Linked DNA regions of Oreochromis niloticus. The protein of the gene in region 3 purifies or fractionates together with the protein of the main gene of each other region. This does not show direct contact. Links are inferred from orthologs where the notes say so. Each region holds a gene or a part of one and is shown on either strand. Other genes may lie near its edges.

The links.
Region 1: the proteins of cdk2 (region 3) and spdya purify together in Homo sapiens (affinity purification with western blotting; 7 studies listed by BioGRID). This does not show direct contact. The link is inferred for Oreochromis niloticus from reciprocal best matches to the Homo sapiens genes CDK2 and SPDYA.
Region 2: the proteins of cdk2 (region 3) and lin37 purify together in Homo sapiens (affinity purification with mass spectrometry; 3 studies listed by BioGRID and IntAct, with this or other methods). This does not show direct contact. The link is inferred for Oreochromis niloticus from reciprocal best matches to the Homo sapiens genes CDK2 and LIN37.
Region 4: the proteins of cdk2 (region 3) and tfdp1a purify together in Homo sapiens (co-immunoprecipitation; 4 studies listed by BioGRID and IntAct, with this or other methods). This does not show direct contact. The link is inferred for Oreochromis niloticus from reciprocal best matches to the Homo sapiens genes CDK2 and TFDP1.

The regions. Positions count from the first base shown.
Region 1 is NC_031983.2:24,030,086-24,037,800, reverse strand, and holds the start of spdya (speedy protein A), read right to left. Parts: upstream 3,010-7,715; 5' UTR 2,842-3,009; intron 2,246-2,841; 5' UTR 2,198-2,245; coding exon 1,984-2,197; intron 1,891-1,983; coding exon 1,832-1,890; intron 1,747-1,831; coding exon 1,661-1,746; intron 1,518-1,660; coding exon 1,346-1,517; intron 1,122-1,345; coding exon 911-1,121; intron 303-910; coding exon 244-302; 3' UTR 1-243. Other genes in the region: pcare1 (uncharacterized protein C2orf71), read left to right, coding at 4,111-7,460. UniProt on the Homo sapiens protein: Regulates the G1/S phase transition of the cell cycle by binding and activating CDK1 and CDK2.
Region 2 is NC_031976.2:17,552,563-17,560,561, forward strand, and holds the start of lin37 (protein lin-37 homolog), read right to left. Parts: upstream 3,001-7,999; 5' UTR 2,632-3,000; coding exon 2,598-2,631; intron 2,376-2,597; coding exon 2,300-2,375; intron 2,216-2,299; coding exon 2,162-2,215; intron 2,019-2,161; coding exon 1,989-2,018; intron 1,714-1,988; coding exon 1,628-1,713; intron 1,490-1,627; coding exon 1,329-1,489; intron 77-1,328; coding exon 1-76. Other genes in the region: proser3 (proline and serine-rich protein 3), read left to right, coding at 3,491-3,531, 3,608-3,716, 3,809-4,080, 4,254-4,402, 4,498-4,601, 5,096-5,181, 5,256-5,389, 5,487-5,716 and 5 more; hspb6 (heat shock protein beta-6), read right to left, coding at 7,977-7,999.
Region 3 is NC_031970.2:24,511,538-24,518,713, reverse strand, and holds the start of cdk2 (cyclin-dependent kinase 2), read right to left. Parts: upstream 3,013-7,176; 5' UTR 2,664-3,012; coding exon 2,548-2,663; intron 1,933-2,547; coding exon 1,855-1,932; intron 1,749-1,854; coding exon 1,628-1,748; intron 1,518-1,627; coding exon 1,347-1,517; intron 1,173-1,346; coding exon 1,071-1,172; intron 988-1,070; coding exon 784-987; intron 548-783; coding exon 443-547; 3' UTR 1-442. UniProt on the Homo sapiens protein: Serine/threonine-protein kinase involved in the control of the cell cycle; essential for meiosis, but dispensable for mitosis. Phosphorylates CABLES1, CTNNB1, CDK2AP2, ERCC6, NBN, USP37, p53/TP53, NPM1, CDK7, RB1, BRCA2, MYC, NPAT, EZH2.
Region 4 is NC_031987.2:21,263,748-21,271,027, reverse strand, and holds the start of tfdp1a (transcription factor Dp-1a), read left to right. Parts: upstream 1-4,270; 5' UTR 4,271-4,421; intron 4,422-5,465; exon of another isoform or gene 5,466-5,760; intron 5,761-6,400; 5' UTR 6,401-6,473; coding exon 6,474-6,485; intron 6,486-6,911; coding exon 6,912-6,978; intron 6,979-7,161; coding exon 7,162-7,280. UniProt on the Homo sapiens protein: Can stimulate E2F-dependent transcription.

The DNA.
Region 1 (7,715 bases), on a different chromosome or scaffold from region 3:
ATCTAGGTTTCACACTAACAATCTTTTGGGGTTTTGTGTCCACAAACAGCCAACTTGCTTGTTTTAAATGACATAAGCTCATCGTTGTCACTTGTACTTAAAATATGTTTTGAGTACCTTGTTAACTTTAGAGGCGACTGACAAACTGTGGATTCAGACTTTTACTTCAGAGTAAAGTGATATTAAATCCAGTAAAGGAAGCATTAACTGCTTGGTTGATTTAAACAGGAAGTCGCTGATGCTCTACTCATTAATCCAGTCCATGAAGGTGTTCAATGTGGACTTGCCGGAAGAATCATTCCCTAAGAAAAAAGATGGAAACCTGTAGTTAGGTATGAGTTTAAATCTTAACTGCAGAGCTTTATCAGTATACATACGAGCACTGTAAATAAGTGTCCTGTGTTCCTTATATTGTGGCTGAGTTGCTGTTGTTCCCAGTCGTTTCCACTTTGTTATAAAACCACTAACAGTTGACTATATAATATTTAGTAGTGAGGAAACTTCACAGCTGGACTTGTTGCACAGGGGGCATCCTATCAAAGTACTACTTCACCGAGCTCCTGAGAGTGACCCATTCTTTCACAAATATTTATAGAAGCAGTCTGCATGCCTGGGGCTATTGATTTTATACACCTGTAGCAATAGAAGTGACTGGAACATCTGAATTCAGTTATTTGGATGAGTGAGTGAATGCTCCCACTAATCCACTTAATGGGACAATAGGTTCAAGTGCAAAAAACACTAACATTATGTGTTTTTGTTGAAGAGGAAATTATTTCTGCAGTTTGGATTGCAGGGCTTCCTGAACGTAGGTTTTAAACTTAACTGGGCATCCTATACTGAGCAGCTCTTTACACTATAAACCACACAGTGAACACAGATACCAGCAATAGTTATATGTACTTGGTACCTCCTTTGGGATTTGCACAGCTGAGCCTCTGGAGGGAGGAGTTGTGGCCTATTCTGGTGTCACGCTTACAGAGGGAACAGGACACAGGTGAGGCATAGGGCCCACGGGGAAAACGGACACGGTCGCCATCATTATACTGTCGCTGGGCACCGCCATGGTGATCGGAACGCTGCCGCTGCCACACGAAATGAGAGGACATAATGGCCATCACCTAGAAGACAGAGGTCGAAGAAATAAATACAGCTCAAACAAAAAAAAACAAACAAAATAAATAAATCATGTCACTGCAAAACACACCCACAGACACTAGAGATGGAATGTCTGGCATTAAACCCAAGCAATAAAAATGGCACTGCACAGCAAAAACAAGACCCTTAAAAATTCCCAGAGAAGCACCATTTATCAGTCTCCTCAGGCAATTATACTTGTGTGTACCTCTTCACAGCAGCGCCTGCTGACAGCAGCTCTGTACTCGATGCGAGCCCACAGCTTGTCTCGCTGCTCAAGGAAGCGGGGAAACCGTTTTTTCCAGTTCTTGCCCAATGCCCACGGAAAAATTTCATACTTGCTCTCCTCCTCATCCTCCTCCATGGTGTTGGCAAGATACCTACAGGAGGAGAGCGAGAGCAGAGTTCAGGGCTGTAGGTTTGCCAAGAAATATCACATATAAAAGCAGAAGCAAACAAGGTTTCCTTTTCATGACAGAATATAATACAGGAGCAGGATTTTCAGGCTTTTCTCTGAACTTACAGTGCAATGAAAAAATTCTTTCTGGTGTATTCAGTAATAGTGAAGCAGGCCCTTTTGAAGTACACAAAGGTCATGGCTAGGAGGTACTGATGAAATAGAGGGAAAAGATGGTGTCACTTTAATATAAAGCATAAGAAAGTTTTGTAGCTTTCATCAAAGTAATAACTTTACCTTGTCTGTCAATTTATAGCAACCATCCAACCTTAGAAAGTCTTTTATCAGGTCATCCTCTGTAGACAAAGAGATGTTAATAAATGAGAATTTAAACCAAATTTCACATTTTCTTGAGCGCATCCTGCTTTCTTGTTAGAATATTTATCTACCAAAAAGACGGAAATATGCTGCCATTTCCTGCCGCTGGACAACAGTTGACTGAGGCACTTTGGTAAAATACAGGTCGCCCTGGTTTGACTGGATACTCCACACCACACCCTGGGTGTTTTGACCACTGTGTCTGCTCAGGCTGAGGTTTCTTCTGATTTGGCGAACATATTTGCGTTTGACCCGAAGGGTAACAGAGGGAGGAGTTTTCATCATGCTTCAGCTTGAATCATCCGCAGAAAGGAGGCCTCTGGTGTGTTATGACTGGAAATGAGGGAAAAAGTATGAGCAGTGAGCATCATCACTTTAGTCTGTCAGAGTTTTTTGGGGCAGGGTCAAAGGGGTCCACTAAAGTGTGCCAAATTCGAGCTTCTTACCATCATTAGCGCTCAAAAAACATTTAAAGAGCTAAATGTTTCTCTCTTTTCAGACATTTTTCGAGACGCAATTTAAAAATTAAGGGCCTTGGGGAGGGGTCTGCTATGGTGTCTCTATCAATACGGACTTTGATGAGCGTGGCTAAAGCAAAACTAGAATGACACGTATGCTTAATTTCCCTAAATGATTTGGATTGCCGCGTAGCAAAATGGGGACATTATTTAATAATACATTTTTCCGAATAACACACTTGTTTAAAGTTAGGCAGGTTATCTGTACGTCATTAAAAATAGGCAGTAAAAGAAAGAGAAAGCCCGCAGCTCTTCAGCAACATAAGCTTTCAGCTAGCTAGAAAACTGACTAAAAAAATCAAGAAAAAAAAAATCACCCAATTTAAGTGACGACTGTTTTTAGCGGCACAAAGAGACGCTAAAAGATTAAATAAGTGTTGTTCTTATGAGAAGCTTAACTGTCATACTAACCAGTAACACGTTTTAAAAGATGAAAGTGAGTATAAAGCAGTCGCTTCAGGACGCTGACCGGACGAGATAGTAGTTGGCAGCTCTGACAGTTTCTGGAGCGCGCTTCGAGATCTGTGCCAATCACCCAGCGGTGCACCTGCGCGCGAGGACGAGCACGTAGTGGCGCCACTTTTTCTTTGCTTATGGCGATCTCTGTGTGGAGTTATTATTAACATGCCGAACAATGTAAATATGAAGAACACTATTAAAAACACACCAAACACTTAGACTGTAAAAGTCACATTTCAGTTTCTAATGACTTTTTCTCTTAATGAGATATTTGTTTTGTTATATTTCATTTTATTTTGTTGAACTAGACAACAAAGGCTACCAATCTACTTATTTATGCTATTTTTTTCTGTGTTTTGTGGTTGTTTATTGTGTTTGAGTTACATTCAAGGTGCTGTAACAAACGGTTATTTTACGTTGGGGATAACTGATCTTATATAAGGGAAACTTTTGCAAGTTAATTGTTAGGAGGCAAAATCACAAAGGAGTAAATCATAAACTTTATTTACTCCTACTTTATTTATTTAGTCTAGTAGTTAGTTTTGGTGGTTTGTTCTCATTTCATTTGATTATTTAAGTAAGGGGGGGGAAAGGAAAGATGTGTAATATGCAACTATATTTGATTTAATGTTGTCAAATGTAGATAAAATAGAATCAGTGTGGCACATTTTCTAATTCAGATGAAAACAAAATGCTCTGTTTTTCTTTCTGTTTTTTTCTGTTTTTTTTCTATTGGCTAAATTAGGATGTATTGTTTCGCAGGCTATAAAAAACCCACCTGAAGCCAGCCTTCATTACCCAAATGAGCTTAAGTTCTTAGAAGTAGGTGAGTTTTATATGACTTAACGTGACATATGTGCAGGCTGAGGAGTTCACTGAAAGACTCACTAATCCTTTCAGCTGCTTGTCCTTCATAAGGTGCAGAGGGATGTTTATTTCGAACATGCTCCAAGGAAATTTTATTAAACATGGCCACCAAACTGTGGATTTATTTTGTCTGTCTGTGACAGTTGGAAGCAATTTGTAAAATGGATTTATCCACGTTTTGTTTTGGCAGTCTAGTTGCGGAAAGGGATCTTACTCAACGAGTCAACGACATCAGCCATCTGAAAATGACAGCTGGTGGCTAAGAATCTTTGCTATTTTTTACACAATTTACTGCACTGTCTGTATTAGTGTCATCCAGGGAGAAGAGAGAAAAAATCACCCTGTACAGCAGAAATGGGCTGCTCACCATCCAAAGGTAACAATTTTGGCACTCTGGGTGCCATGAGGAAGGGGAGAATGTTACCCCCTGCACCTCAAGACAACTCCAGAGATCCACAGTTTGAAGATGGTGAAAATCATGATTCATCTGGAGCTACAAATGGAGATACAAAGGAAAAGAAGACAGGTGGACAAACCCAGGTACTTCAGAAAGAGTCACACATGACACCACAGAAAAAGAGGCTTGATACCGAGCAAGTGAATATGGAAGCAGTTAACATAGATAAGCTGGGGAATCAAGCAACAGAAAAAAGCGCAGTATCACAGAGGAAAGAGAAAAACAATGACAAACAGGATGTGGCAGACAAAAGGCTTAACAGGAAACCAAAGAAAAATGCCAAAGGTGCAAAAGTTCTTAAAAAGAAAGACAAAGACAAACTATCTGAAGAGCAGAAAGTGGACTTTCCAGAACCCTTGGTAAAAGCTCACCAAGCTGCATATGCCTTTTTGAATCCTAGCATAAACAAATATGATGTTTTGCTTGGACTCTTAGAACAAGCAGCTGAAACTCAGGTTTCTGTTCAGCCTATGGTTGCCTTCATGGCTCTACGTTACGAGGAAATAATTCAGGGACTAGAAGACATGGTGGAGGAGGGAGAAAAAATTTTAAAAGAAAATGGTGAACATCTTGCTTGGCCAAGCCAAATGAAAAATCTCTCATCCTCTACCCCTCTGAAGTCTGGCTCTCCTAATATCGAACCCCCACCGGATTTGTTGCAGCAGCTGCTTCAGTACACCACACAGAGAATGAGAAATGTGAGCCAGACTGTTGGAAGAATTGGGGACTGTGCTTTAGAAGAGGCAGCTGAGTATTTTGCCTCAGTTTCAGAGCTTTTAGAGGAGAAACTTAAAGTCAAACGTGCAACAGAGAGTAGGTTAATGCAACTCTTATCCCGCATTGAAATGGCCTCTCTGCACAAGCCTGGGCCAGAGGATTCAGCTCTCTTTAGTGAGGACAGTGGAATTGGGGCTGAGAATGAATCCCTTGCTGGATCTGAGAGACGCCAAAGACGAGAGAGTTGTGAGTCTACCGGGACAAATAGAGCTACTCCTGTCAGTCCTGTGCGAAGAGTGTCAAGGAGAAGGCTTCGGGGTCAAATAAGTCCCAGTGTGTCCCTAACCTCACTCAACTCACTAGGTTCTACATATACCATAATGGCTAATGACCAAAGAGACTCATTGCTAGGATCTGTCTCCACAGAGTACGGGGAAGAGGATGTCAATGATTATGATGAGGTGGACAGAGATATAGGAGATATCCAAGAAGCAATTCAAAAACAATCAAATTGTTCTCCTGTAGACTGTGAGCTACAACAACCTCGACGTTTACCCCCAAAGAGGATAGAAAATCCTCAAAATGTGGAAATGACTATGAAAATGAAAAATGCAATAAGTGGTAGGATACAGTTTGTATCGTCACAAAACCCTAGTTCTAAAACAAAGGCATCAGAGAGCACAAAATCTAGCACACAGGAGTGGACAGATGATGAGGTACGATCTCCAAGGAGGCCTCAAACAGCAGCACTTGTACGAAAGGCACAAGTGAAAAAGACCCCAGTGAACAGGGGTCAGCGTTCCCGGTCAGCAGATTCCCTACGGAGCAAAGGGGAAGATCCTACTCTTCTTGAACTAGAAAGGACCCAGAAAGATTTAAACCGGAGATTGCAGAGCATAAATAAAAGCAAAGAAGAAAGAAAAACAAGGACTGATCCTTTAAAACGAAACCAAGGAAACTCACCAGCACAATCTCCAGCAATAAATCGGAGACAGCCCTCATTAGAAAAGAAAAACAACCCCCAACCACCTAAAGACAAGGCAAGTCTTACAAAGTCCAATAGTAAAAAACAGGAGGTAACCAGTGAAGTTGATGATGATAAACAAAAAGACAAGAATATACCCAAGGGTCTTATAAAAGCAACTCCACCTCCTAGCCCGCCTTTATCACCCCAGCCATCTTCTGGCCTTCAAAGAGGTAGGAATTCAGTCAAAAAACTGATTGATACATTCAGTCAAGGAATAGAAGAACTAGAAGGTCCTAAAGTCCTGGGGCCTCTCAAAGGTGTGCGAAAATGTGGTGTTCCAGTGTTACCCGGTTTAGGAAATGTAGAAGCCGTGCTGACTGCTGGCATAACTAGCTGTAGGTCTGAATCTACAACATGTGAGAAAACAGATTTAGATCTGGATAGTCTTCCTCCACCAGCAATAGAAGTATTACTGGACAATTCCTTTGAAAGCGCTCAGAGTACATCAGCTAGTGTAGCAGCAGATGGTGCAACAAAAGTAGGAAGATCACCTTTGTTGAAAAGGGGTGTAATATCACAACGATTGAAGGCCTCAGTTCAGTCAGTGACTGTACTGCCAAGCAAAGGAGGCTTGCCACAAACTTCCAAACACATTTCCCCTGTTAGAGTGGAACAACAAGACACATTTCCTCTGTCTAAGGTCAATCAACCAGACATTCAACAACGGGCAGATTTGGAAATCAAAAAGGATTCTTTATATCAGCAACTCAGAAAGAGCATACAACTAAAACCCTCTTCAGACTCTCAGTCAGAGAAATTGTCAACAAGTTATGTAGGACCGTCTGCCACTCAAACAGAATTGAGAGACATACAAGATGGTGGTAACATTTCAGTGCCTGGATCCAACACCGCAGCATCTTCTGTGCCTGCTTCGGTAGAGACTAGCCAAACACCTGCCACCCCACCTGTGTCTAGAGGGCGAATGTTGCCTTCCACACCTTCTACTCCAAGCAGCTTACATCGAAGACTTCCCAGTCCCCACAATTTCAAAAATCAGCCTACTCCACCCTCTTCATCTAGCCCCTCTCTTAACAGAACACTTCATACACCACCTGCTATTCAGAGGAGACTCCCCAGCCCACCCATTTCAAAGCAGAACATTTCGAGCTCAAACTCAGTCGCTTCATACCCTTTCAAAGCACCATCTCCCCCAGCTTCGCCAAAAATACAAAGATGGTCAAGGGAAAATAGCAGTGAAGACTCATCAAGTGCCAGGACAATTAGTAATGCACGTTCAGTCTTCTGTCCCGTTTCTCCATCCATGTTTGAAGCCCAGCCTTGTTCAGTAACCAAGCCCCCGCAAGCATGGACCTCAACCAAAGTTTCATTCCTCTTACGTACTTTTGAGACACGTGGGAGGACTCCTGCATCTGTCCATGGGCCACGACCCTTTATCAGACGTAGCCATTCAGACCGGAGGCAGAGTCTAAGTCTGCCACAACGATCACAACGCATCTCAGTGGCTGAGACTTGTGGGAGTGAACCAGCAATATGTTCACAGGGGTGAGATTTTACCACATTTCTGGTTATCTTAAATGATTAATCATGACTTTGTTTTGTTTGTTTGTTTTTTTACCTTAAATTTATATAAGGTTCTGAGAGCAATTCTGGACAAATGTTATGAAAAAAATCAGTTCTGCTCTCTTTGGTAGGAGCTGCCCTATTTTATTTTAAAAACACCTACCTGGTTATGCTTTGGGGAAAAAAAACAGTATTAATAACATACGTAACAATTAAGTGACAGGGGTCCACTTGGGA
Region 2 (7,999 bases), on a different chromosome or scaffold from region 3:
AGGAGTTGACTGGACAGGCAGTCGGAGGAGGAAGTCGGTACACATTCTGACCTTTACCGTTGATTGTGTCCGTAACCTAGGGAGAAAAAAAAAAAAAAAAAAAAAAAGATTACTGCTAAACGCTTATTTCCAACAACAATACTTAGTGATGCCATAACATGCCATTTTGTTTTTGGGGGGCACTTACTAAAACAAAAGTACGAGTACACAATCAGATAGTGCACCTCACAAACAAACAACTCAAAAATATCGTCACTGTAGGGATCATCCATTAAAAACAGTTTCATTATATCTTATTCAGATAACCTTGATTAAAACATGCAAATGTAACAGTCAGTTACATTTGCACTTAGGCAAACAAAAGAAGACAATAGTTTGGCACACAGTGTACTGCAATGAAATTAACAATTAATTTAATTACATTTAATTAATTACATTAGACCTTGTGAAACAACAATTGATTGAATCAGGAAATGATCAAATTATGAGATTGCAAAAGAGTTAAGGCCCTTTAACATGAGATGGGGCATGACCTGCGCTAACCGCTAATTAGAGCGAAGGACCCCAAATTTGTGTTGCACTGGCCGCTCTGCTTGTGCGTCATTTTTTGCGGCCGCTCTACATATACTAGATGCGTCTGCTCCTTTACATTAAAAAACATGTATGTCTCTGAATCATATCGTCTGCAAGATGTTTAATTAAATTTTTTTTTAAATGTATTGTTCATTCATAAAGAAGAAACCTGTAACTATCCTACTAGTCAAGAGTGTGTCATTTCCTCAACACTGCTTTTCTCTTGAGGTCCCCAAAGTCGCTGAAATGAAAGACTTACTCAAAGGCTCTGGAGATCCCTATATATGCACATAAACCTGTGTCAAAAAGTTCATCAAACTCAGATACACACAGAATGTTTTCCTTAATCATTTGGTTAAACTTAGAGCAGCTGTAGGCATTGTTTCTATTGGTCACGTGAAGGTAAGTCACAACACGCAGTGCATGCACGAGTACTCCTCGCTGGCACGCTTGGGCTGTGCTTTGCTCAGCGCTTTGGTTGGCACAGCAGTACAACGTTATTGTGTGGCGCAAGCAATAGAAATGAACGGGTTTCAGAGCGCAGGGCTGCGCGTCCCACATCCTATGTGAAAGGGCCCTTACACTCTACCCTGCAAAGTTCCACATTAGCAAAATGTAAAAGACCTCATTTTAACTTACTGTAGATGCATGAGTGAAGTATAACTTTAAATCAATGTGCCTCTGTGTTTTTTTGTACATTTGTTGGTTGTACATTTGAATAAAATCTCCAGCATCTAATCCATTTATGATCCTACCTCTTCCTCTACCATGCTCTGTGGGGAGCTGGGGGAAGCAGCTGGTTCTCGAACGGAAGGATTATTCCTCATCCATGCACGGCAGATAGGATACAGTGGGGTGGCGGTGTTGAACTGAGCCAGATCCACACTGCGGTCAAACAACTTGATAACGTAGGCATCTATTAAAAGGAGAACAAGAGAAAAATAAATTAAAGGTAAGAAAATGGTCACAAGTGCAACAGACAAGATGGTTACACAGTAACCAAGGCACATCAAAGACAAATTCCAATCATTTTTCATTATTTTCATTAATTTACTTTGTTTATGCTGATTGCTTTCTGGAATGCTCTCATCCATCTCTTTTCGCTTCTTTCTCCGGTGCTGTGGAAATCGAGCCGACGGTCTGCAACAAATAGATTTTTTAAAGTAATAAATTTTTGGAGCTTAAAAGAGATTCAAACTAATTTCTCATACAATTCAAGTAAAATTATATTTTTTATTTCCAGACAAAATGATAAAAAAGTCTAAATATGCCCTGTTTTAAATGCCTTGGTATTTCTTTGTGAAGCACTTTGTGATCTTTGTATTGGAAGGTGCTATATAAATAAAATTTTACTTACTTAGTAATTACAAAAAAGTTACTGACAAGTCAAGTTTAACTAAAACATAAATACTTGCCTTTTTCCAGCAGATGTCGGTGATAAATCCCTAAAGAGAATGGTGGAATATGCATAAATTGCAATTAAAAAATAAATGTTGAAGTAAAATCATTGAATCAGCGCACCCAATTGTAAAATATTCTATTAACAGATCATTAAAAACTAAATAAAACCAAAATCACTGGTCCATACTTGTTCAAAGAGTCGGCTGACAATTTTCCCGGATCACCTTCATTTTGTTCCCTGCTGAAAACATGTTTATATTAGTTTTGTTATTAAGAATAACTCGATTCTATAATAATTATATGCACAACAATTAATTTTGCTAACCTTTCATTTTCGCTCTTCTCTACCAGTCCCTTTAAGACAGCATCTAATTTGCTGCGCGCACCAGCCCCGTCTAAGTCTGCAGAAGTAATAACGAAATAATTAATGACAACAACAATACTCACTTTGGGTGACACTCGCCCCCTGTATTACTTAGCTTTTAAGAATCCTGTATAATCCGAACCACTCAAACTTACAGGCGAATGTACTCCAAAACAATCCAAAACAAGAATTTGTACCACACAAAATTTGGAAAAGCTGAAAACACAAGGCTTCAGGAAATATTGAGAGCTGCTGTTACCTGGCCTTTCAGTCTTGATCTTGACGTGTTGCATTGTGTCCGCCTTTCTATAGACACCCCGTGGGAACTGACGGACTTGTAAAACCACACGGTTGCTGTTTCGGTTCTTTAGATTTACAATAAATTATGTTTGATTCCTTGCTAACGGCGCCGTTAGCCAAGCTAGCTGTGGGTACCGTTTACAACCAGTTAGCTGTAACCACTGGTTAACAGTTAAGCTATATAACGCTATTCAAACCATTAAGCAAATAACATTTATCCCTATCGACTTCCATATAGTTAATAGAAAGATACAGCACAGCAGTCGTTTATGATTTATACCAAGCTTTGCAGGGTAATGGCCAAACTACTGTTGCTAACTTAGCTTATTTTTGACAAACGCATAACCTTACTAGACTTTCCTCTTCCGCGCGCTGCCAATTTCCTATTAGCTGATTGGTGCCTGTGCAAACAGGGCCGCCTATATGATTGGTCAAATGTTATATCAATCATTTTTAATTCGTTCCCTATTGGCTGTATGTCGTGTAGTAAATAACGTTCGGCATACACAACAAAAGCTCTCTTCCACTTTCATCGAGAATGTACTGGGTTTGTAAAATAAACGCGAAGTTACTATGTTTTTAGTCAGAACGTTAAATTGGAATGATAAATAGATGTTCATAGAGCCTAACGGAGAAGCGTAATTTATATTCTGAAAGGGAATTTCTGGCATTTGAAGTAACTTTGTGTGTAGACAAGTAAACTCGGAAGAGTTTAGTAATGGGGCCATCGTCTTTTTGTTAGCTAAGTAACCCACTCAGATTAACACGTCAGTCCTGATATGATTTGGGGTGCACGAGGTAAACCAAGCCCACGTTGAAACAAGGACTGTGTGTGCTTTCTTGTGGTCGTTGATGTCTCATCGGTCACCTCCAAAGGTTGCTATGAATTCCAGGTGAGGATCTAATGACACATTTTGTAGCACCCTAAACAGAAGAAGTTATAGTTAGTAATATGTGTTCTTCTTACAGTGGACCTGTGTTCACAAAGCAGAATCCCTTCCCAGCAGCACCCAAAGTGAGGACGGCACACTACCACCCATCCAGCAAACAACCCCTCTCAAAGAAAGAGAAAAAAACTGTATGTTTTATTGTCAAAAACACTTAATATACTGCAAGAAAAACAGATTCTCATTGTGATATATATATATCCCTTTTCTGTTCTTCTTGCAGACACTAAGTCCTGTACGTTTAAACCAGCGATCCAGAACAAAGTTACATAATCTAAACCGAGAGAGCCAGCAGCTGTCTAAGAAGCATGACCGTTTTTCCTCCATTGATGGACAACCTGTTCTTAAAGAGTCCCAGGCCTCCACTGTCGTTGGATTCTCTCCTGATAGAAATACTGCCTCATCTGACATGGACGAACCCAAACAGTCTGGAAAAATGGGGAAATCCAGTGTTTCCCAAGTTCAAGGAGGCCAGGAGGATTCTGTGCTGGCAAAGTATGTCTTAATGCCTTATGTAATTTTCTTAAACAGAACTAAAAAAATAGTTTCAAAATGACAACGGGACAATTTTTCATGATTAAATATGACAATGTCATAGTGACCCTGATTATTTTTATTTCATTTTGCACGTGACTTCTTGTAACCAAATCTGACCTTTGCTTTGCCAGATACGTAGAGCGTTTTCGCCATGGTCGCCCACAGAGTCGAGAGGAGCGCCATCAGGTGGCTTCTGCCAGTGGAGAAGAGCAGGCTCCTTTTTGGTGGATGTCACATTCATCACCCAGCAGTTCAACACCAACTAAAACAACAGACGAAGGTACACTTTATTTACAGTCATTGGTGTATTTTATTCCCCATTACCAGCTGCTTAATTCTATCAAATCTTTCTGTGTACTTCATTTCTCTGAAAAGATGTTATCCAACTTCTGAAAGAGGACCAGGATCCTGCTCTTTATGATCCATCTGCACAGCGTGACCGTAACAGATCCCTTTCTCCCTACAGAGGATCCAATAGTGTAAGTTGTATTTATAAGCTAAGAAGAAATAAGCCATAATTTATCAATTTTTTTATAGCAAATGTGCTTCTGTTTCTTGAAAAAATAACAGATCCATAAGATAGGGGGAAAAGGCACCACCAATTATTCAGTTTTTATTGTTTGTGTATGATGTCACAGTGGATTATGGGGTTTACATTGTCCCTTGATTTACACCACGCATGTCCAAAGTGCCTGGGATTCTGATTGTTTGCAGAAGCAACACTTTATTCCGACTAAGTTTGCATATAAACATTTCCATTTCAGCACCACACTCCATTTGGAGGTCTATGTGTTTATTAAATGCCTGGGAAGTCGCCGTTTATGCAACCAGATTTGACACGTTGTTCAGCCTGCTAAGAACAAATGCATCACCCTTTTAATTAAAATCCTTTTATTTATTTATTTATTTGGGAGGATTTATTTACACAGTATTGCAAGTCTTTATATGAAAAAACGTGTTTTTTGTTTCCCAGCTTTTGTCCGACACATCCCAGGGTGAATTTGATGACAGGGAGATCCTGCACCTTCAAGAAAAGGCCAGCAGACTTCTTCTGAGGGGGTATGAAGACCGTTGAGCAATATTAAAGATAAATGGCTTGAGTTGTATTAACTTTTTTTTTTTTTTTCTAACAGTGAATGTTCTGTGAGTGATGGATCTGTCCCTGTCAGCTCAGAGGGGCTGGGATGCTCAGATTTCTCCTATCCCATCAGTATAGATGAGCCAGTGAAGCAACCTTTGATTCCCAGTTTATTCAAAAATACTACTGGTAGGGAAAGAGTGTGGACTAGAATACCTTTTGTTATTTATAGACAGATTCTATTTTGCGTGCTGCTGTGTTTTAAACAGTGTGTTAACATTTACAGCAAAGGCCAGCTCAGACTCAGCTCATGGTGTGTCCTTCCAAAAATCTGTCATGCCTTCTTTGGTGCCTCCTACCCGTCCAGAGGAAGACATATTGTTCCAGTGGCGTTTAAGGAGGAAAATGGAGCAAGCCAGAGAGAGGCCCCTGTCTGTGCAAGCCTCCAGTCCTCATGCATTTAGTTGGCAGGCAACGAGGTTAAGCTATCCCTCCATTAGTGAACAAGCTTACAAGGTTGGAATCAAACTGTTTGTTACATTATCCATATTCTTTGCACAAATTTACAGAATAACATTAATTTGCTCTTCAGGAACAGCAGGGTACCCAACCTCCTCAATTCTCACAAAGAGATACTCATTCACACATCACTGCTGCCCAGCCAGAAACCACAGAGGCCCAGAGGTTCTGTCCCCCAGCTCCAGGTCCTTCACTATTCCCCACCATCAATGTTTCTGGTTCAGTCCCTCAGCCGCAGAGCATTGCCCACGTTCCTTCCCACATGCATTTTCTCTGTGACGTCTTGCCATGTCCCATCCAGTCATCTCATGCCAAAGTGCACCAGAGCATTTCACAAAGGTTAGACGAGTCACAAACCAAAGTTCTTCACAAAAAGACCCAAGTCCCTGAAAGCCTTGGAGAATTAACTCTTTGTGAACGCATGTCACTCACTCCACCCACGCCATCTGAGAGAGAGTGGCCTGATCACCAAAAAATGTCTGAGAAGAACAAGAAAAAGAAAACGGGGACGAAGCAATCAGAGGTAAATGGGAAGGAGGAAGCAGTGCTCGCCAGACAGCATAAGAAATCAGCAAGGTGAATTATTGAAACATGGGCACTGTTTAAAAGTCTTGGTGATAAAAATATGTGTTTGATATATACCGTTAACATTTTGTGGGATTTATGCTTCACAAACAGGAATTCATTACATCAAAAGCTTCCCAAAAAGGTCACATCATGTAAAGAGCAGCAGCAACCAGAGAGAAGACAGGAGCTTCCCAGTGAAAGCTGTGCTGGTGATCACGAACCACCACCATCCCCTATCCACAATGCATTAGGACAGGTAAACATGCAAATGTGCAATTTTATTTCTTTATTTGAAGCCACAGAGGCTGTGTCCATATTTGGGCTTTCTGGGGGGGTTTTTTCTCTGCAGTATATTTGATAAACTGAAAGCTGTGTGTTTGTTCTCAGACTTTGGCAATCTATGATTGTTTACAGATCTTAATTAATCATTTGTAAAGGCCATTGACAGATCTGGTCTTTAGGAGACTGTATATATTAAATATTTAAATAAAATACACACAAGTTTTTATTGAATATAATTACAGGTCTACCTTCACTATGCATGTCTGCACATATTTTTTGGATGCCAAACTGGTCATAAGGTTCAATGTGATCAAGGTAATTAATATGCATTAACTTGGGTGTTTTCATTTGACCTTAACAGGTAGTTTCAGAGGTACTGTTTCCTACGGTGGATTCCTCTTCTCCGAAAAGGATTCCTGTTTCATCTGATTCTCCTTCCTTCACCGTCGCTGCACCTTCACCATCGCCAATTCCTCCAAGCAATGCACTGAACTCTATGGAAGTCATTTCACAGCTTTTCCAAGAGGCCGAAGGTAAGCTTATGGTGGCAAAAGGCACCAGTCTTTAGCCCGTAAACAGCTGCATAAATAGATGCTTTTAGTATCTGTCCTCTCACTCAGATTAAACTTTTTGTTTTAGATTCGGATGAAAAAGAGTTTGGAGATGATCCTTTGCTACAAGTTCTTCGCAAACAGAGAAAATGGGTGAAGGAGCAGATCAGGTAAAACGGAATTAGATTATCACCATTACTGTAATGATTAGAATCCTTTCCTGTGTATATTTCTAGCATTAATTTATTCTTAAAATCTCTTTGAATCGGTTGACAGTCATGTTAACAGAGTCGATTGCCAGAAAAAGAATGATTTTTTGTTGTTGTTGTTGTTGTTTTGTTAGTGAGGTGGACTCCATCTTAAATGAATTCGTGGAAGAGCAACAAGTTACTTGAAGAACATCAAGAGACAGTTTTTGTAGTCACATTTATTTATTTTTTATTTTATAAAGAAATAAAGTTAATTTATATTTTTGAGGACATTTTTCTACAATAAAGGTTGGAGATGTGTCTCGGTGGATTATTATTCACAACACTGTGCATGTACAAAAGTTGCACACAAAAAGCAGGAGTTGGAAATGCCAACAGAGAATATTTACAAAGTAGAGTGGTTACTTGAAACATTATGTAACATTGAGTACTAGCAGAGCAGTATATACAAACCTTGGAGTGCAGGGAACATTAGAACCGTGCCAGGAACAGAGCAGATATGTGTTTTGGCACACATCAAGTTCTGCTGGGAGTGCAGGAGCTTGAAGTTATTGCCGTTTTTGTCAGTGTGGCCATACAGACTTCCGCTGATTTATTTTTGTGTATGGTAAGGATGGCAGAGGTTTTAGTGTTGGCTGTTAATGCAATTTAAGTAAGAGGTGTGTAGCTCT
Region 3 (7,176 bases):
CTGCTCAGCCACCGTTATTTGCACTACCCCACAAACTTGTTTGATCACGTTTAATTCTAACCTATTACTTCAAGATGGACATGCTAAAGACAACATACCATTAAAATTTGGAACTATAATGGTATACAAATAGAATGGGTCTACCTAACCTGCGCTGACTCAAAGCCCATCATAAATACTTCAAATATGACAAGTTGCATATAAATATGCAAAATAATTATATTGAAAATTACACTTAAATCCTCAAAATTATGATATACATTGAAACAGTGAAACTCTCACGACAAGTTGCTTCTCGAGGGCTGGTTTTAGTTACTGAAGAATCCAATGTGTTCTGTAGTGTCCACTTTTTCCCGTCCATTTGAGTCATGAACCTGAAGCATGGAGAGTCTTTATTGCTTAGATATAGCTGGCATTAAAAGAGCCTGTTATTTTGCACGACTCAGAGTCTGAGGTGGGGAAGTGGCATGGAGACATCACGGAAAAATCGATGCACAAGAGCATTTTTGGCAGACAGCCTTTTGTTTGGATCATAGTTCAGCATTTCCTGTAAGATTGAAAAAAAGGAAAAGCAGTCAATGAATACAGCCAAGTGCTTCAGTCAAAAATTAACACAAGTCATGGAGTTCATGACACTGTTCAAGCTGCACAATCCTCAACTCTCTAGTCTGAAAGGGACACTTTCACAGGAGAAAATATTTAGATATGCAAAGCAGATAGAGGACCAATGTCTTTGGCCATGAATATATAATAAAAGTGCTAATAAATCAGAAATGTTCTCACCCCGAGCAGTTCTCTTCCATCTTCGTCAAGAAGAGGCACCACTTTTGATAAATCCTGCCGAGCCCACTTGGGGAAGGTTGGTTTGTAGTCAGGCATGGATGTGACTCCGGGCCAGACGGTCTCGTCAGGCGTTCCCAGAGTACGAAAGATTCGGAATAACTGATCTATTTCCGAGTCACCGGGGAACAAAGCCCTCCTGGTAACCTGTGGGCAGGGAGACATGGTTGGTGTCTTTTGTTCACTTTGGAGCTTTTTCTTTTTTGCTGTTAATAATTAAAGTATGTTACCATTTCAGCAAAGATACATCCAAGACTCCAGATGTCAACGGCTGTGGAGTAGTACTTGCAGCCCAGGAGAATTTCTGGGGCTCTGTACCAAAGTGTTACCACCTGAAAAACATCACAGGAGCAAACAGTTGTGGCATGCACTGAGCTAAGAAATTTTAGGTGCCATTAACCTACATAGTAAAGACCACATGAGAGCAGAGCAAGCACATCTGGAGTTCTAGCCGTTTATAATTTTATAACTCTAACATTTACTTAGGTAGGTTGTGAACGCCTTACTTCATGTGTATATGCGCGGACGGGTACTCCGAAGGCTCTTGCCAGGCCAAAGTCAGCCAGCTTGATCTCACCCTGGGCGTTGATGAGGAGGTTCTGGGGCTTCAGGTCTCGATGGAGAACCCTGTGAGAGTGGCAGAAAGCCAGGCCTTGCAGCAGCTGAAAAAGATAGCTCTGCAAACACAGCAATATATGCTCGGTTGAGTCAAGCCTGACTTCCAGAGTACAATTCTTAGCAGAATTAACTGCTGAAAGTATTAATTCAAATCTGCTGTGATGGTTACCTTTACTAGAGGCAGTGGGATACCAGTGACTGAGGAGGAGTCCATAAACTTTTTTAAATCCTGGTGAAGAAACTCAAAAACAAGATAGAGCTTGTTCTCGGTGTGGATAACATCGCGTAATCTGGAACATGTTGACAGGTAAGTTGGCTTAGAAAAGCAACATCAAACAAGTAAAACAAGAATACTGCAAGCATGATCTAGACATAGCTGTAACATAAAGCACTTACTTGACAATATTTGGGTGACTGAGTTCTTTGAGAAGCGATATCTCCCGGATGGCTGTGCTTGGTACACCCTCTGTTTCCCTGAAATGAACAAACAGTAAAAGAAACAGGTTTTTATCTAAGCAAAGCATGTACTTTAGTATCCTGGCGGTTTGACAGCTGATCAAGTCCTGAAAGCTGAAAGAAACAACAGCACTACTCTGTGTACTTTAAGCAGTGCGCCTTACAAATTAGCAAACACAAAGATAAGACACGTCAATGATTTAGCTTCCTCTGGTTTGAAACAAAGGTCACAAAAAGCAAGCAACTTTGACTAATGGCACATCTGAATTTTCAGTAAGGTTTTCTTATGCAGCCTGTGGAAAATGATGATGATTTAGCTTTGGGACACTTTACTGTTATTTAGGGATTATGTTTTTATATTATAACAAGTTACACGTTAATACAACACAACAAGCTCATATGAGCTGTAAGGTTATGTAGATGTCCTATGTAAGGACTGCTCCATCTGTGGTCATGAAGACTTTGCGCCTTATGTCCAGTGTGGTTGTAGGAAGTTAACCGATGAAGCAGTCACGCCCTGATGGAGCCACGAGGTGGGTAAACTAGTTTCATCAACTCTTACGCACAGTAAAACTTGAAAACTAACGTTAGTCTGGTGACCCGAGGATAAACAACATTAGTTTGTTTACTTACGTGTCCAGCCTGATTTTCTTCAGAGCGACAGTTTCTCCCGTCACTTTGTTCTTGGCTTTGTAAACCACCCCATACGTGCCCTCTCCAATTTTCTCTACTTTCTGAAAGGAGTCCATCTCGTACCAAACGCAGGTCTTTAAGCGGCAATTAGCCTTTTAGCTCTTTGTGTCGAAGCTAACGACTGCTGGGTAGCTACTGAGGCAAACCTCGCATATAACCATGTAACTGCTGCTCAAGGCTTCTTCATCCGGTCCGCACGCGCCACAGGTTTAAGACTTAATTCTGACTGAGGATAAACTATCTCAGGTCAGCGCGAAGTAGCTATAAACAAAAGAAAGGGTCATTTGCAGACGCTGTTCATAACAATATCCGTAAAATGTGTGGTTTCGCGCGGCGGTGGCGTCTCGTTTGAAAAAAAAACTCAGAAGCAACACAACAGCCTTTCCCGCGTTACACTGGAGGCGTTCGTTTTTGTGTTCCAGACACACCGATAGGTGTAGGTGGGCGGTCGTCTAAAGGCTTTTCACTTTGAGTCCTATTTGAAAAATTGTTATGCATGGTACTGCTCTTATCGATTAAATAAATAATTTTAAAACATTTTTTTTATCGGCTAATTTTAAATTCTTAGCTTCTGTTTAACAAAAGGGTGCAAGTCGTGCTATAGAGGGGTGTCGTATCGGGATAACAAGGATACACTTAACAAACACCCTCACAGGTCACATGGTTGGACGGCGACGTCGTTATACGTAAACTACGTCGGAAATAGTGATGGTAAATTCGATTCTTTTTACTGAATCGAGTTTCACTCACCAAAGTGAATCGGGTTTCTTGAGTCATTTGAGTCACTGAGTCAGTTTACCAGAGAGTGCAAAAGTGTATATTTTCACTCAAACTTAATTTGTTTCTCTTCTAATGTAAATCCTACTGCTAAGATGAATGATTGTAAAAGAAAACAACTATTTTCTTTAGAGCAAAAAAGAGCAAAAAAATTCTAAAGGGAACATTTATTTATTTTTATTTTATTTTATTGGTATTATCCTTAAATGTGTCAAATATATATTTTCTCATCTAAATGTCCACTGAGCTGTGAGCCAGGGGGCGGTAAAGCGCCTCAACATTGGTTGCCAACCAAGAAGAAGAAGAAGAAGCTGTGAGCCAGGAGGGAGGGGGTGAGTGAGTGAGTGATTCGTTCAACTCGTTTGAGCTGTGATCCAGGAGGGAGGGGGTGAGTGAGTGAGTGATTCGTTCAACTCGTTTGAGCTGTGAGCCAGGAGGGAGGGGGTGAGTGATTCGCCTTACGCTATGATTCAGCACAGCAAGGGAGGGGGTGAGTGATTCGGTGATTCGTTCAACTCATTTGAGCTGTGAGCCAGGAGGGAGGGGGTTAGTGAGTCCTGAGTTATTCGCTTATGCTATGATTCAGCACAGCAAGGGAGGGGGTGAGTAACTCAAATGTGCTGTTAGCATGCTAGCTGAGCGATGCTACTGTGAACTGAGGAGCTATTGTCTTGATGTGAGCTTCTACTCAGGGTTTTTTCTTCCAGTTCAGAGCAGAAATGTTTTTGTTAAGAAACTGGCTGTTGGTTTTTTCCCCACAATTTTAATTATAAGCTAGATATATTTCTACTAATGGAATTAGTTCGCTAACAGCAACAGGGATGAGTCAGTGAGTCAGTTGTGCTTGTGAATCATGATTCACGAGTCAGTAAAGTGATTCTCGAGTATTGTACGATTCGTTCACGAATCGAACATCACTAGTCGGAAAGACTAGAACAGATTATAAAGTGTACAGAAGGCATACTATTTCATGAATCTGTCTTTCTATCTATGAATCTAGCCACAAGTCACAGTTTTATAGATGTGTACTGCACAAATATGATCAATTATTCAAACATATACACAATCCAATGCAAAATAAAAAGCATGAGCAACATTGTGTTTCGCATAATAAAAACATTAGTTGTCTTCACATCTATAATATTTCTTCTGCATCTTATGGCCACGCATACAGCAATTTTAAAAGTTAGAAAGCTGTTTTCCTAATCCTAAGACGTTTTACTTTCTAAGTTATTCAAACACAGTGAGAGTGAAAAAAAAAGAAGAACAATTTGCTCCTTTTAGTGGCAGGATGTGTTTGTAATGACCCACTGGATTATGGAGCAATGCTTTCCAAGTTCTGTTTTTTAACTGTTTTTCTCTTGCTCTCTGTTTTGATTGAAAAACTAAACTAACAGACATAATGATGGATCTGATATAGCAATTATTCCTCAACGCAGTGCAGCATCAACAGTGTAATAGGACACATGTGTACTCAAATAATACCTTTGAAAAGGGTCTGGTCATGTGTGTCCACCTGCAGATCCTTTGTGTTCTTTCAAAGGGGCAACTGGATTTAACACTTTCTTCACCTCAGGGGCCAAAATGACCTGCTGGGTACCAGTTAAAGCTTGCCTGTGGTTTGTGAACAACAAGGAACCCTGAGCTAGCCTCTAACCAGGGCATAAGTAGTACCCTTTCTTTTTTAAATTACACCTGTTGGCTGTGATAAAGTTATAATGGAAGACTTTAACAGGTCTGTCAAATACAATACTTTGTTATATAGAGCTATACACTCACCATCATCCTCATTCGGCAAACAGGCTGAACTGCTCATTAATGCAAATAAATAATCAGCTAATCACATAACAGCAACTCATTGCAATTGGGCACATAGACATGGTCAAAGCGACCCGCGGAAATTCAAACTAGACATCAGAATGAGGAAAACAGGTGGGTAAAGTGAATTTAAATGTGGCATGGTTGTTGGTAGTGATTATTTCACAGTGCCAATGTCACAAACCTTTAAATCTGTAAGGATTTAGTGATGGTAAGAGTATTTTGATTTATCACATTAGCAAAATTATGAGTGTAAAGAGTGTAAATAGTAGTAGATCTAATCTGGTGTTATATGATTATGCTGCAGAGTTGTTGAAAGACACACATTCATTGTTAATGTTATCGGTAACACCCGTGTTCTTCTCTGGTATGCCAGATGTCTGCTTTAAAGAAGGTCAATATTGATCTGAAATTTTAACCGCAATTGTGTTTAAGTCAGTAGGTTCCCCCTGCGGCATGAAGAAACACCCTCATTTGGTGCTAAGAGACACAGAAAGCATTCATTCCAGTACTGCACATGATCGAAGCCCGCAGGCCCAACACGTCTCCACGTTGCATATTTATATGTGAAGTGACGTCTTTCAGCACGGCAAAGATGTTAGTTCTCATTTCATGAGAGTATTTTTATTCTCTGATCACTCATTAGTAAAATTACGACTGATCCACAGAAAGTGACGCATGTAACATGTCTGAATATTTTTCTGTGTCTGGAGGAGGATTCAGATTTTCCCCGTTCTCCCTGCAGTTTAGAGGAGTTGGTTTCATAATCTGTGTGGACAGAGGTAATTAGGAAGCAAGTTTCCTGTCAGGAGATCTCCCACAGCCTGAATAATCTGATGGTGAATCATGAGCAGCCTTGGCGCAGGTCCTGTATACAGCAGATTAGCCTGCTGATTGTTCTGCACTACATGCTCCATCATGTGTCAGTGGAAGTTTTGTGTTTGTGCTGTACGTGTTTACCTTGGTTTGAGGTTTCTCTTTAGGCAAATTTTCTTTTTGTGTTAGTCTAGTGGAAAAATACAAACGATGAAAAAAAAAAATGAGGAGAGTTTGTTTTAAGCCATTTGAACACGCTGAATGACTACTGATGGCTGCTGTGGCCATGAACTGATTTGACTGTCTAGTCTGGTACTTTTCATATACCAGATGGCTTTATTGATCTGGTTTGGGGTCAGTTCTAAATCACATCCCTCAGTTTCTAATAGTGCGTGAAAAGAGAAGCCTGTGTGACTGTTTGACTTCAGTTTTGTTGACACACTCTATATTGATTGTGCTGAAATAGTTTTTGAGGATTCCAGGCTTTACAGGCCTTGTTGTTAAGTGCAATTGAGAAATATTTATAATGTCAAATAATTTGTGCAGAAAATGATCAGATTTCACGAAACAAGGTTCTGTGTTAATTCCATAAATTCTCCGAAACCCAGGAACAAATTTATTAAAATAATAAAAAGTAGAGACTAAATGAGCCTATTTATGGTATGTGGTATGTTAAGTCAGGTGCTCCGTGTGAGGCCTTTTTCTCCTCCTGAACTCTGTTGAGGAGCACATGAGGGGTCACATGTAGTGCAGCCTGAATAGTCTCACAGGCATGAGAGAACATCACTGTCAAAATGACTCCGTATTAAGTTTACTCTGTATAAAGTATAAGAATTTATTTACACAAAGTGGAAATAAGAAAAAAAAAACCCAAACAAACAATTAATAAAACAACTGAAAATGGAAAATTAGAAAGTGGGTGATACTAAAAGCAGGGAAGCAGTCATTTTACACTTTACCTTCTTACTGATTTAACATGTTTCATGTTATACCTGAATGTATTTTGTGTGTAATAAGTAATAAATTAGTCTGAAAAGTGTTTTTCCTCCTCTTTAACAGTTTTATGAAATACAACCTCAGTTGGAAAGCTGTAAAAAAAATGAAAATAAAAACAAATTTAGAAAATTTGCAGATCTAATAAACTCACATTTTATTTTC
Region 4 (7,280 bases), on a different chromosome or scaffold from region 3:
CAGACATATGAACAGCTGACCGAAGAAATTTATTTAAACTGCATTAAAACAGCGACATTAAGGAGCTGTTGTAGACATCCAAGATTGATAGGTGACCCCAAAGCCTCAAAAAAAAAAAAAGAAAGAAAGTCAGAGCAGCCATTCTGAAATGTCATTGTAGGGTAAGCACAGGTGTAATAACATTCATCATGGCACTGCTCCATTTAGAAGGGTCTATTGTGCTTGCCAGCTCACTAGAACGACTGATAGACTAAATATAACAGGGTTATAATTGAGTTTAACACTTACATGCTTATTGTAGTATGAGATGTCAAAGTGGTTATTGTGAAAAAGACCTATTTTGATAGTAACCATTAATGAATATGGCTATATTAGCAAGAAAAAATCTAAAACATTGTTTGTAGTGCTGTGGAAAGGTATTGGGTTATGCTTACAGTGTTTACTGAATAAGATAACTAACTTTGGAATAGTTAACTTTAAATATATTTTAATAAAAGTCGCATCCCAGACCTGTTGAATCAAGAAATCACATAAATAAAAACCTGTCTGACAAAGTGAAGTAGGGTAAAAGACCTCAAACAGCAAAACATCATGCAACGATTTAAAGAAACTTCAGAACAGATAAGAAACAAATTCATTGACATCCATCAGTCTGGAAGGGGTTACAAGGTAATTTCTAGAGCTTTAGGACTCCAATGAACCATGGTGAGAGCCATTATCCATAAAAGAAGAAAACCTGGAACAGTGGCGAGCCTTCCCAGAAGTCGCCGGCCTACCAAATTTACCCCAAGACCGCATTAAATCATCTAGGAGGTTACAAAATAACCCAGGACAACCTCTAAAGAACTGCTGGCCTCACATGTCTCAGTTAAGGTTTATGATTCAACAGTAAGAAAGATACGGGGGGAAAACTGCATCTATGGGAGGATTCAATTCAATTTATATAGCACCATATCACAACATCAATCACCTCAAGGTGCTTTACATTGTAAAGTAAAGACCCTACAATAATAAAGAGAAACCTCAACAATCAAAGGACCCCCTTTGGGCAAGTGCTTGGTGACAATGGGAAGGAAAAACACCCTTTAAACAGGAAGAAACCTCTGGCAGAACCAGGCTCAGGGAGGGGCAGCCATCTGCTAAGACCAGTTGTGGGTGAGGGGAGAAGACAGGACAAAAGACATGATGTGGAAGAGAGCCAGAGGTTAATAATAACTAATGATTAAATACAGAGTGGTGTGTAAACACAGTGAAAAATGTGACTGAAGGAGAAACACTCCTTCATCATCAGAAGCCCCAGCAGTCTAGGCCAATTTGCAACAAAACGGGGCCCTAACTATATTCTTAGTCAGCAAAAAGGAACATTTTAAGCCTAATCTTAAAAGCAGTCTGTCTCCCGAATTCAAAACTGGAAGCTGATTCCACAGAAGAGGGGCCTGAAAGCTGAGGGCTCTGCCTCCAACTGTACTTTTAAACCTAGTAAACCAGCAGTCTGAGATCAAAGTGCTTTATTGGTGTGATATTGTACTGTGAGGTCTTTGAGATTTGATAGGGCCTGATTATTAAGGACCTCTGATGTGATGAGAAGGGTTTTAACTTCCACTCTGGATTTAACAGGGAGCCAACGAAGGGAAGCCAGCATGTGAGAAATACGCTTTCTCTATCTCTTCCTTGTCAGTACTCTTCCAGCATTCTGGATCAACTGAAGGCTTTTCAGGGAATTTTATGGCAGCCTGATAGTAATGAATTACAATAGTCCAGTGTAGAAGTAATAAATACATTAACTAATTTTTCAGTCTGAGGATTTTAATCTAATATTGGAGATGCTATGTATGCTATGCCTTCTAATGATACTACGTAAAAGCATGTATAATATAAACAGAACTGGTCCTAGCACTGAACCCTGTGGAGCTCCATAATTAACCTTAGTGTGTGAAGAAGAGTCCCCATATACATTAACAAACCAGAGTCACACAGAGAACACAGAGATGAGTCCACTGTCAGAGGCCATAGGAAGATCATTTGAAGCCTTCATAAAAGCTGTGCTGTGATGGGCTCTGAAACTCAACTGAAACTCTTCAAATAGCCATTCCTCTGCAGATGATCAGGTAGCTGTTTTACAATTACTCTTTCAAGGCTTTTTGAGATAAAAAAGAACGTTGGACATTGTCCTATAATTTGCTAAGACCGCTGGGTCAAGTGATGGCTTTTAATATGATAGTTTAATTACTGCCAGCTTGAAGGCATGTGATACATAGCACATTAATAGAAATAGACTGATCATATTTAAGCTTTAACGATAGGACTTTGAGCAGTCTTGTAGGAATGAAGCCTAAAGTGCATGCTGATGGTTTGGAGGAACTAATTACTAAAGTTAATACAGAAAAATTCCAAGGAGAAAACCACCGCTGACCTAAAAGACCACAAAGGCTAGTCTCACATTTGCCCCAAAAAACCCATCTTGATGATCCGTAAGACTTTTTGGAAAATATTCTGTCGACTGACAAGACAAAAGTTCAACTTATTGGAATGTTTGAGTCCCATTACATCTGGCATAAAACTAATACAGGATTTCATAAAAAGAATATCAGAGCATTGGTTTATGCATCAGCCCCCCCCCAAAACAAACAAACAAACAAACAAACAAAGAAACAAACAAACAAAGAAACAAACAAAAACAACATCCAAAAACGTTTTTTGAGTGACCTAGTCAAAGTCTGGGCTTAAAGCCGATTGAGATGCTTTGGGATGACCTTAAACACGCCATTAATGCTCTGAAACCCTCCAACGTCGCTGAATTAAAACAATTCTGCAAAGAACACCAAGGCCTTGGTGTTCCCCCGGAAAAGGTGGAAGAGGTAACTAGGGAAAGGGAGTTTTGCTTAGGGTGTTGCCCCCACAACCTGGTGCCAGATACACATAAGAAAATGGATGGATGGATGGATGGATGGATGGATGGATGGATGGAGAAAATCTACCTTGCCCAGCTATTCAAGAGTCACAAATACATGACTCATATGATAATTCAAGCAAAGAAAGGCAAACGGTTAAACCCTTATGAGCTAAGAAAAACATTTGTGATTACTTTATTAAAAAAATAGTATGGTAACAGGGTTAAATAAGAGTAACAGGGCTGCACAAGATAACGGGGTTGAACGGATATATTACTTTTACTTGTAGATTATGACATATGTGTGACAAATAAATACTCAGGACTACACAGAAATGTTGTTTAATAACATCTTATATATTTTTAACATGTTTGTAATGTTTGTTTTATATGTACAGTAACAGGATTGCAAATCAGTGCTAATATTAGAGTTTTCTCAGAAAAAGATGTAAGCTGATAGTTGACTGTGAAAGTCAAGAATAAATATAGAGATGTAAACAAAGGAATTAAACTTTCCAATTACTTTCTCTTTTGGTAATATGAATATCAGGGTTTGCATTGGCTGGAATGACACAGTCTAGTTAGAAAAGACTGGAAAAAATACAAAATATATCACAGAGGACTGACCTTCAATCTAACCACGGTGTTAACACGCGGCTCAATCGTGTCACTGACTTTTTGTCAAGTCACTCACTGTTTGGCCTCTTGTTTTTCCAGCCTAAATAGGTTTCAGTAACAGGGCTGCACATAGGTTTGCAGTGCGTAATTACTCTTCTTTAATATATGTTGATGTTTGCATGTTGTAAGCTGATGATGAACAAAATCAAAACAAGAAAAAAAGTGGATTTATAACGATTTTTAGCTGTTATAAATTAGTTATCGAGAGTTTGGCAAGAGAAAAAAATGCTATTTTGATAGTTCTCAAGAAGTATTTTGTATTTATATAATATTTTGGAATTGGAACCAACTTCACACTACAAATGTATGTTGTAATCTTTTGTGCCTGGACTGTTTTCAAATTCATATGGGGGAGCAAAGAAAATCTCCTGCATTTGTACAATGGCTCACTAATAGTGACAATAGTGAGTGTTGAGACCTCTCCAGTGCACTTGCTATTACTGATTTTTGCACCAAATCAGGTGAAATTGTTTCACAATGACTCATGGCTTCCTAACTGGACAGATTTGCATCCCTGAAGATTAACTAACTTTGTGTTAAATCTTCGATACTCTGATCCCTTACGTATTTTAAGACTTGTCATATTTACACATTTTTTATGGCACACTCCTGTGCAGCAGACGGCGCTGCATGTATCACGAGGGCTCTGGTATCCACCAATCCAAAGAGCTCCAGGTTGTGGGCATGAACTATTTTGACCGCTTTGCTTTCGTCTCATTCGTGCTGTCCAATCAAGCTCCACTAAAGCGAGGCACCGCCAAGATCAGATTGTGAGAGACGCTGGTGTAGCAAGGCTAACGGAAAGTCGATAGGAAAGGCTAGCGAGCAATCTGTTAACCTGTAAGGTGCACCGGTAAGCAGCATTCACTCACCTGCAGCTTGTCACTCAGCTGACGCATATGATAGAAACCGACGTTAAATATCTGTATGACCTTCTATTGTTTGTTAAGTATATAGAATTTTTTTTTTACCGCCAATAAATACAAAGCTAGCCGTCGAGGTAAACTTGTAGCTAATTCTGGGGTTGTCGATGACAGCTGGGGGTTAGCTTCTGTGCTAACCCACTAGCTAGCCAGTGAGCTAACAAAGCGCTGAAGCACCTACTTCTTGAAGTGCAATCGCGAGTTAGCTCAGTGTTGAAATAAACATTTTGATAATAAAGACAAGTACTTTTTGCATTGCATTTAATACATCCTCTTTCAAGTCGCTAACCTACGGCATGTAGCTGACTGTAACGAAGTGAAGAACAGAGCTAGTTTTGCGGTTCACGATGATTGTAATCGACCTGATTACAGTAACGTACTTGTATTGGATCCGTATGCAACGGTTCGTTTGGAAACGAACCTTATAAAAACTAATATTTAAGTTTTAGACACCTCAAAATGGCCACCTTTCTGTTAATTTAGCGTCAGGAAAGTATTCGTAAGGGTCTTCGTGTTTTATTAAGAACAAATAAGAAAGGTTACGCGATTAAATGCGTGGAAAAATAATAATAATAATACTAAGTCGAGTGTTTTTAAATGTAACTTCCAGACAACAAAGTGTGTTATTCATTAGTTAGCTATGTGTGTTGATACTGGTTACTACACTGGCAAAAGGAGGTCAGCGATTGACAATAAAACACAATAAACTCACGGAGTATATGCAGCTGCCTGCAACTGGTATTTCAGAAGTTGTGGTTAACTGTGGCAAAACATTTTTATCGTCTGGATTAAATCCACCTTGCTGGCATCGATGGCAAACTTTGTTTACTTTTTAGTCTGCTTGACTTGGAAACGATCACTCTTTGTACAGCTAACACACAGCAAGTTATGCAAATCCTGGCATGGCTTGTTGTATTAAAAAATAAGCTTAAAAGTGAAATACTCAAAGTAAATACATTATTTCGTACTTCAAATGAACTATATAATTGTTAAAAAGTATCTCGACATTTCTTAGTTTGTTTCCTGTTTAGTGGGGATTTAGACCTCCTCTTCCTCCATTCTCAAATGCCAACAACAACAGCCGTCGAGGAGACAGAGTGCACTCGTAAGCGCATACAGTCACCACAGTTAAGCTCATTCATCGTGCGAAAGGCACGTTCACTATTTTAAGTGTTAACCCATGGTGTAGTGTAGCTGGGATCTGCAGCACGGAACCAATAATCGCAACATTTCTACATGAATCGTCTCAGAGCGTGCAGGAGCTAACTAGTAAGCTAAGACCAGCAAGCTGGGTCTACCGCTAGCTGTTAGCAGCTAGCTGCGTCCAACAAAAGATTGTTCGTGCTAATCGACATATAATATGACCGCTGTTACAGTATCATGCAGCCACAGTGCCTGGAGCCACATAGTGCTGTCTCTGTTGCGACATTATCAGTTTAGCGCTGTTGTGGTAAAGTTCGCTTGTTTGCGTGACCTGTAGCAGAAGTTGGACGGTGCCTCTCCTCCGGACGTGCTCGGTACCTGAAGTAGGCCTTGTGCACACTTAGCGTAGTAAAAGTTGTGAGCATCAAGGGATGGCTTAATATGGTTTCCCGCATATCTAGAACATTTAAAAGTACTGCTCGGTGGCTCGTTCACGTGAGATTGGTGTGAGAAACGTACATTTCTGCGCATTTTGGCTTATAAAACAAATAGTGACGCTAACATTGGTGATGTAGTTAGCTTTCTACAATGTGCTCTTAGCAAGCAGACCAGATGGGCCTTACTTCAGAAATAAGTTTAAATTTCATCTCCAAAACAAAGTGAAACACAGCTTAGCTTGGGAAACAGTATTGGGAAATATGATGTTTGGGTCAAACTGTAATTTTGTCATTATTTAAGTAATAGTTTGTTCTCTTTCTGTTTACAGGGGTCTGAATAGTGACTGGCAGAGGAAAAGTCTTTTTAACCCAAAGCATACCTCTTTTCGGTCCTTTGGGATCATGGCTAAAGATGTAAGTAAATATATACATGGTTTCATGAGAAACATCAGGCTATTTTGGCTGTGTCACCTAGACTGTAGCTAATTTTGGGTCCTTAAATTTACTGGCTGCACTTAGTCTTGTAGCGTTTTCTTTTTTCTTTTTTTTCTTTTTAAATAGACTGTGGGATTTGTTTAGTGATTTCATAGTGGAGTGGTTTATACATTTGCCTTACAAAAGATCCCCTGTTAGGTCCTGGAAGGTGACACAGTTCCACTGAATCAGGAAGGGCATCCATCCAGCATAAAAACTCTGCCAAATCAAACTTGTACAACTCACTGCGGTGACCCCTCATAAATAAGGCATCAGCCAAAAGTAGCTTCTACTGTATGTTTGTTTAACTGGACTCGTCTTCAATTCTGTGGTTTCTGCAGTATATTAAGTTGTTCTCTTTTACAGGCTGGTCTAATTGAAACCAATGGAGAGCTGAAGGTTTTCATCGATCAGAATCTGAGCCCTAGTAAAGGTATATTTTGTGAATACTTGCCTACAGAAATTGTGCATATGTGATATACAGGGCATTCTAAGCAGTATGTACAGTCTAGTTTAAGAGGCAGCAGGGCTGTTTGTTGGTAGGTGGACAATAGGGGGCAATGGTGTTTCATTCAAAAGCTTCCCTCATTAATGATCTTCTCATGTCTCCTATAAGGTGTCCTGTCCTTGGTTACTGTCCAGCCCACAGCTGCCCCTGTGGCCAAACAGCTACTACCCAAAACCCTTGGGCCATCCAATGTGAACGTCGCTGCACACATGCAAAATGTGCCACAC